Xenopus tropicalis: one gene and its partner. The protein of the gene in region 1 purifies or fractionates together with the protein of each later gene. This does not show direct contact. Links are inferred from orthologs where the notes say so. Each region holds a gene or a part of one and is shown on either strand. Other genes may lie near its edges.

The links.
Region 2: the proteins of vim (region 1) and sync purify together in Homo sapiens (affinity purification with mass spectrometry; 3 studies listed by BioGRID and IntAct, counting the BioPlex papers as one, with this or other methods). This does not show direct contact. The link is inferred for Xenopus tropicalis from reciprocal best matches to the Homo sapiens genes VIM and SYNC.

Annotation. Positions count from the first base shown.
Region 1 is NC_030682.2:28,573,427-28,577,947, reverse strand, and holds the end of vim (vimentin), read left to right. Parts: intron 1-428; coding exon 429-649; intron 650-749; coding exon 750-793; intron 794-2,615; coding exon 2,616-2,698; intron 2,699-3,354; coding exon 3,355-3,396; 3' UTR 3,397-3,723; downstream 3,724-4,521. UniProt on the Homo sapiens protein: Vimentins are class-III intermediate filaments found in various non-epithelial cells, especially mesenchymal cells. Vimentin is attached to the nucleus, endoplasmic reticulum, and mitochondria, either laterally or terminally.
Region 2 is NC_030678.2:90,286,650-90,290,472, forward strand, and holds part of sync (syncoilin), read left to right. Parts: intron 1-241; coding exon 242-1,025; intron 1,026-3,823.

The DNA of each region.
Region 1 (4,521 bases):
CCTGAACCCTGGGGTTAGCCCTCCCTTTTGGAGACATATGAAGCCATGTTTTATGCATGAAGTTGGCATCTCTCTCCAGTTTTGTTAAGAAATGCCTCCTTTACAAGCATTGTAACTGGATGCTTAAATGCCCTTATTACGCACATATTTTAATACTGTGCTCGAGCAGGGTTTCAAATGTCCTGTGAATGTTTTTTGTTCATTGAACATTTGCCCCCACCCTAAATCAATTGATTTAAATGTTTTCAGATTTTTGAATAGGAAGATAAAGAAGAGCAACTCCATAATGTACTTGTTAAGCCTTATTTTATATTTTGCTTTTCCAATATTTTTATTGTTGTTGTTGTTCGTGGTCTAAAACTCGCCTAGGAATCCGTTATCTGCCCATGCTCACTGACTTACTGGCATACTGTTGTATTCCCTTGCAGAATGAGTCTTACGAACGCCAAATGCGAGAAATGGAGGAGAATTTTGCCGGAGAAGCTGCTAATTATCAGGACACTATTCAGCGCCTGCAAGAGGAGATCCACAACATGAAGGAAGAGATGGCTCGGCACTTGCGAGAGTACCAGGATCTGCTCAATGTTAAGATGGCCCTTGATATAGAGATTGCTACTTACAGGAAACTCCTGGAGGGAGAAGAGAGCAGGTAGGTTTGAAAAGCTGTCACTAAGCATTAATGTTGGCATTTCTATACTGAATTAGGCTGAACGGTGTGTGAACTGTCATAAATATGTTCTGTTTTGCAGAATTACTGTTCCCGTACATTCCTTTTCTTCAATGAGCCTTAGAGGTAAATCTCTTTTAATTTTATTCTTTATAAAGGGAAGTTAGCAGGATGTTATATCTGTATACTAACTAGTTTGAGCATCAGTACTTGCATTGTTAAAAACAACTATGACATGAATGGGTCTGGGTATTTGATCAGCTTGTCGAATGACTGGCTCAGTCAGAACAGCCTTCCTGTCTTGGACTCGTTTCCCATTCAAGCAAATGTGAAATGACGGTCATAAGGCATATGCAAGTGATGTCAGATGGGGTAAAATGCAAAAAAACTAATGACGGTGCAGTAAAGAGCCTTTATATTTAATCGGCAGACTAATGCTCATTATAAACACCAAACTAAGTAAGAACTCAGAACTGCCTGTACTAAGTGGTACCCTTCCTTCTCCAGCATCCATTTAGGAGTCCTTGTTGCATACAAAGGATGGGGGTAAAGAGGAATATCCTGGGTGTTTTCATAAACCCCTATGTAATTTTCTTAAAGGGGTAGTACTGGTCTTTTTTTGTATTTTTGAATTATTTAGCATTTTGTTTAGCAGCTCTTTAATTTGGATCTTCAGTGGATATCTGGTTGCTAGGGTCCAATTTACCCTAGCAGCAAGGCAGTGGTGATAGGAGAGGGACTGAATAGAAAGATAAGTAACAAAGTAACAAAACCAATACATTTGTAGTCTCGCAGAGCAGTCATTTTTTGGCTGCTTGAGTTGGTGACCCCCATTTGAAAGTTGGGAAGAAGCAGAAGAGGAATGAAAATAATTCTAAAACTTTAAAAAATGAAGACTAATTAAAAAGTTTCTAAGAATAGGCCATTCTATAACATACTAAATGATAACCTAATGGTGACCTGCCCAATTAAGAGCAATGACACACAGGGAGAATAAGAAGTGCGCTCAAACAAAGTAGACAATTAAAAAGAAGTTGTACCAAGCTTAACTTTTTTAGTTCTATGGCACCAGTGCGTTTTGTTGCTGCTACAAAATGCCAGAAAATACATTGCCATAGTGTATATGGTAATTGCTTTGCTACATCACTTAGATCACATAATCACTGATTGGTGAGCGATTAAACAACTAGCAGAGGTGATTCTCAATATCCCCTGTGGCAAAGCATCTTCTGGTGTTTGGTAGCCACAACAAATGTGGGTGACACGCACCGCATGTTATTGCCCTTAGGCCAATGGCATTTTGTTGCATCTCCTAAGGATGACAAAGTGTCTAGGAATACCTTGGATTTGTTTCCATTACCAACGGATGCCAAGGTATATTTGGGTTCTTTGTCACTTGCCATCAGACTAAGGGCAATTTCCATGCAATTACACAGGATGTCATTAGCAGCGGTATTGAAACCTCAATTTCACATCCCATAAATTGTCCTTGCATTTTACTCCATTTATTGTTGTCCCACCAATATATATCAATATATTGTCTGTCCAACCAATATAGTTTTTTTTTGGTGAAGGAAGGCTGACAGCTTTTTTAGATGTGCCAGTATAAGGAAAGTGATTAATATATGTAGCTTTTGAGATAAGTCCGATGGGCAACCAAATGAGCTCATGTCCTGACATGGGGGCCTTCGCCAATTCTATTATACCAATATAATATAATACATATATAATTTACAGACATTTAGGCTGATAACACACGGAAAGATTAGACACCTACAGTTACTAATATCCCTTAAATGCTTTCCGACTGGCAATTTACTTCACTAAGGGATGAGGTATAGCACTAAGGGATGAGGTATAGCACTAAGGGACTACATTCCATAGTGCAGGTGTATTGTATATTGTGTATTTGTATTGTTTGCAGAATGATAGTTGCTTTGTCTTGCAGAAACCAACCTTGATTCGCACCCAGTGGAAAGCCATTCCAAACGCACTCTGCTCATCAAGACTGTGGAGACAAGAGATGGACAGGTTTGTCTTCACCTTTTGTGATACAAATTCTGCATGTGTGTGTCTGTGTTCCAGTATAGCTGAATAAGATGGGTAAGAGAAAGTGAATCAACAAGAGACTTGTTTGATAAATACAAAATAATGGCATTCAGAAAAGATGAAGTTTTATTTACATAGTATTTAGTTTACAAAACAATTTGCAATAACATAACGCAGATAACTTGCCAATATAAAATCCTGGCAGAAGTGTAAAGAGTCTTAGCAACACCTTCAGCAATACAGTCAACGCTTTATATCATTGGCAGCCCTCCAGCCTTCTGCACTTCCAGGCTACTGCCACCTAAAAGCTGCCAATGGGCCGAGTAGGCAGCTTATCGGCCCGTGCACTGGCTCCTCAGATGGGTCTACCCAACCGATATCTGGCCGAAAATCATCCAGATATTTATCAGCAGGTTTTAAAGATTCAGTCAGGACTCATTGATGCGGCTCTCTCGCCGGCCTTATCCTGTCAATGTGATCCAATATTTCCCACCTCAAGCTTCAATGTGAATTTTAATTGGCCTGAAACTAAAAGAGTGTGACTGTTATGACTGTGTTTTCATGTACTGATGCCTTGGTTGTTAGCCAAGAGGGTTATTCATTGGTGTGTACTAACAGTGGTCGGTTTCTTTTGGCAGGTTATTAATGAAAGCTCTCAGCACCATGATGACCTGGAATGAAACTGAAATATCCAAAGCAAAGCGGAGAACCTTTACCAGCACCGTAATACTGTTACCTGTTTTAAAGTTTGAAGAAAACCAGCTTTCAAGTGCCTTTTGCAGTAAATTGGAGAGCACAAGATAGGGATAAGCTAACTGCTAATTAGGAGTTTGGTTTGAGTGACAGCCCTTGAGAAGGTCACACAGCGAGCTTCCTTCTGTCTAGTTTACAGACAATGTAATAGCAAAGATCTTGTGCCGCAATACTGTTTTTACATTCCCAAGAAAAAAGCTTTTTTTATTTCCAGGCAATGTGCAGCCAGTGCTTCAATAAATCTTTAGAAATAACAGCCTGTCCATGTGTTATTTGTTTAACCCTCACTAGCCAAGGTTAAATTGCATACTGGTAGAATTTGGGAAAAAAAGGCCTTAACACTAATGGCAAATGAGTCTGCTTTTCCACCTGCATAAAAACACAGTAAACCCCCCCCTCAAGAATCAAAAGGTAGTGTAACAACCCCCAGCATCAAGTGGCACAGTGTATGCCCCAGCTTTACGTGGCACAGTGTAACATCCCCCAGCACTAAGTGGCACAGTGTAACATCCCCCAGCTCCACATGGCACAGTGTAACATCCCCCAGCTCCACATGGCACAGTGTAACATCCCCCAGCACTAAGTGGCACAGTGTAACATCCCCCAGCTCCACATGGCACAGTGTAACATCCCCCAGCTCCATGTGGCACAGTGTATGCCCCAGCTCCACGTGGCACAGTGTAACATCCCCCAGCTCCACATGGCACAGTGTAACATCCCCCAGCACTAAGTGGCACAGTGTAACATCCCCCAGCTCCTCATGGCACAGTGTAACATCCCCCAGCTCCATGTGGCACAGTGTATGCCCCAGCTCCACATGGCACAGTGTAACATCCCCCAGCACTAAGTGGCACAGTGTAACATCCCCAGCTCCACATGGCACAGTGTAACATCCCCCAGCTCCTCATGGCACAGTGTAACATCCCCCAGCTCCATGTGGCACAGTGTATGCCCCAGCTCCACGTGGCACAGTGTAACATCCCCCAGCTCCACATGGCACAGTGTAACATCCCCCAGCTCCACATGGCACAGTGTAACATCCCCCAGCTCCA
Region 2 (3,823 bases), on another chromosome or scaffold:
TATGGAGTTGGTGGCCTCTGGAGCGGTGTAAGTATGATGGGCCCAGACCATATGTTGCAATTGAGTCCTTGGGCCTTTAGTATTGCAACTGGGAGACATATCCTTTGGGCCAACTTCTAAAGGAGTTGATGGGTTTTGTGTGGTTAAATGGTTATTCCTAATAGACATCTTCTTTCACTCGTGTGGGGGAGGGAGCATGCAACAGATTTTAAGCAATCCATTGTATTTATTTTCTTTGCAGACCTGTCCCAGAGCCTTCTTTACCTCATCCTGATGATGTCCAAGATGATCCTGGACCAATGTCCTTCGAGGATGTGGGGGTAAGGTTCCAGTTCTGCATTGCTGCAGTGGAACAGCTGGAGCGAGAACGCGATGAACTTATTCGAGAACTGACACTGCTTCGAGAACCTTCTTTTGAAGCAGTTAGGAGGGCACATGAAGAGGTACTGCAGGCATATGGGCAGAAGGCTCGGACAGAGCTAGAAAGGGACGGTCTGCAGGAGGAAGTTCGTACTGTAAGATGCAAGCTCTTTAATGTGACCAGAGAATATGTGGCATGCCAATTTCAGCTGGAGAATCAGCGTGAAGAGCTAAAAGACAAAGAAGTACAGCGTGGAGGCCTTGAGACTCTTGCTTCCCGTTTGGCAGAGGAGCTCACCCAGCTCAGGACTGCTTTTGTGGAGCAAAAAGAAGGAGCTCAACAGCAACTAAGGAGTGGGCCCACCAGGCATACATCACAGGCACTTCAGGATAGGCGGCGCCTCTCTGCAGAGCTACAAAGTCTCACAGAGGAGCAACACAGTTCTCTAGAGGAGCAGTATGAACCCAGATTACTTCGGCTTCTGGAGCATAGCGAAAGAGGGGTAGCAGCACTTAGGGAAGCACAGGAGGAGCTGCAGAAGCTGCGTGATGAACTCAGACCACTACAAGGGGAGGCAAGTAAGATGAGAGTGCAGAGGAATAGCCTTCAGGAACAGATTGTTCTCCTGAAGAGGAAAAGGGAAGAGGAAGTTCATCTTTATCGGGTATGGATACCCAAAATTCACAGGTAGGGTGATGGGAGGGATTTTAGAAGGTGGGTCCTGACTTGGGAAACAGGAGGGTTATAGTCAGTGTAACCCCTTTTTGGCTGCAAAACAAGGACCAGCTAGAATGGCTATAGAACATGGGATACACTGGACTCTAACACACAGGTGGGTGTTTGCTATGTAGAAGGATCAAGGGGGAGGTATTGCAACTACAACTCAGTTATGCTTTGTGCAAAAATAAGAAATAAAGGACACCAGAGAGCTCTTGCAGCAAACTCAAACAGAACTGGTTTTATTGTCCAACACAATTGATCCACAGAGATATGCAGAAAATACTTACAATACAGATGTAGAGCAATGAGTTGGCAGGTTCAATGCAGAGCAATCTTTCTCTTAATAATGATACACAACTGTTGAGAGTAGGAAGGATAGTAACAAAGTCCTTTGGATTTCCACCTTAAGTGTTCCGGATCCTATACAGCAGACCTGAATTAGGAAGAACAAACATAAGCCTGATACCCTTGTCACTACTGAGGTCTCTTTACTAAGGCAGCAGAGCCTGTAAAGGAGAACACTCCTAGCTATCTTTCCTAGTTGGAGCAAAGAAGCTGCTCTTGGTAGCTAATTTTGATCTGACTCACTTTCCTAGAAAGTGCTATAACAAAAGATATCCTGCACTTACTAAATTATTGTTTACGGGGTCCCTGTTATCCAACTTCTCTAGATAGGATGTTGTCTCTAGGGCCAAACATTTCTGGGTTGTGTGGATCCCAGGCTTTCTGAAATCACATCCACACAGATGAACTGCTTAAGGCCAAAGAGGAAGATTCACTCCTAACCAAACACTATATGAAAGTGTGGCAGGAAGTAGTCATACCTATGGGCCAATAATATAGAAATAGGTAAATAGGAAAGATAGATACATGTGATGACAATGGAAATAAGGAAGATACAGTTTAAAGCTATAGAGATTGTTAATCCTATAAATCCCTACAGTATTGCTAGACTACACTGTAGAAACATTCAACTAAATATCAATTGAATTGATAATTTCATGCAATTAGTGAAAACTAGTAGTTCCAGATTTGAAGTTATGGTGCAACACAATAGGACAAGAGTTACGTGTATATTGGTATAAGGTACTATTTCTAGTTAGCAATGGCAGCTAAGGACACAATACTTCTACTTTATAAGCTACAGAACTGCCTCTACACAGAGCCTCGACCATGACCCTACTACTACTACTGTTCAGTAAATCACAGGGAGCTTAGATGCTAAATTTCTCCAATGCTTGAGGTCTAAGAAGGTTTCTGATGGCTGTGTTCCCTATCTATATATCAAAGAGAAATACTGAGTGCATAGCAGGGCAATTTCTTACTTTTTAAATGTTTGTAAAGCCTCATGTTCTAATTTGACCATAATCTCTAAGGACAATGTAACATGGGGCACATTTTAGTTACTTTTCTCGACATTATACCTCCTTTATATTTTCAAGAACATACATGTCATCTAAACGTCTGCAAGGTTCTCAGCAATGTAGTACATTTAGATGCACTTCAGGTTTACTGATTGTTTTCAAGTACTCTATTTAAGAGATGTGCTGCATATGCTTTGTTATCTAAACTCAGTATTGGCAATAAACCTGATTTGCCTGCCATGACCTCTAGGCAGATTACTGTCACTGACCCTGTGCTTTCTGCACAAACAATAAATGATTAGTCTATGCTGTTTGCCTTATATCTTAGTCTGTTTCCATACCATAACTGACTTTGGGATACTTATTGTACAGCGCTGCGGAATATGTTGGCGCTTTATAAATAAATGTTAATAATAATAATAATTGTTAGAGAGAATGCTAAGAAACATGATATTGCAACTGTTGGCTATCCCCATTATACTGAAAGATGCAAATAACAGTTTATAAATTCAACTTTAAATCCTTTCTTTGGAAACCTAAGTCCTTATTCTAGTGCTTTGCTATTTATGGGTTCCATTTCCCAGCTGTGATATACATGTTGGATAATGCCCTTCAATTACTTTCTTTGGTAAGCTGATTCTTGTTATTGATTGGTGTTCCAGAATGGAGTATGATGGTTCTTCATTAAATTATGCAGTGAACACTTGGTTGGACATTACTTGCAGGCAGCTTTATAACTCTCAATTGAGCCACATCATTTGTTTATGAGTTGTTTGGTGTAAAAGTCCCCATGGTGCCTGGGTGAGTCTGGATTCCACCGTTACTACTCTACTAGTTTTTGTTGTGTTTTTTTTTTTTTTTTTTGGAATGAAAGGAATGTCTGTGCACTTACCAAGTTGTGGCCTCTTTGCCCTGCTATCAACTCAGTTGCTTGAATGCAATTGTAGACAGTCTCTCACATTCTAAAAGAAAATGTGTCCACCACCAACAACTCTTATACTGTCTACTCTGCTGGCCAGTTGCCTTTCCATTGTAGCTAACAAAACACACAATCCTAGTGTCAGTCCAGAAATATGTACTGTGTGTATTTGTTAGTATAGTTGTGGGTTTGTGCCTAACCATTGTGAGATGGTATACACAAGATGGAGTGCACCTGAGATAGACAGCAGAGTTTTTTTAACACACACATAACCATGTCCTGGGTACAACCATTCAATACAATAAGTAAGAACTGGGACAAAACATACAAATGAACTGTAATGTATGTTGGCATAGCTTTCACTATGCACAGAACCACAATTATCTGCCATTTTGTACATAATATGTAAATACTATGAGTTTCAGTACACATTAGAATGAGGTTCCTGCCCTGAAAAGC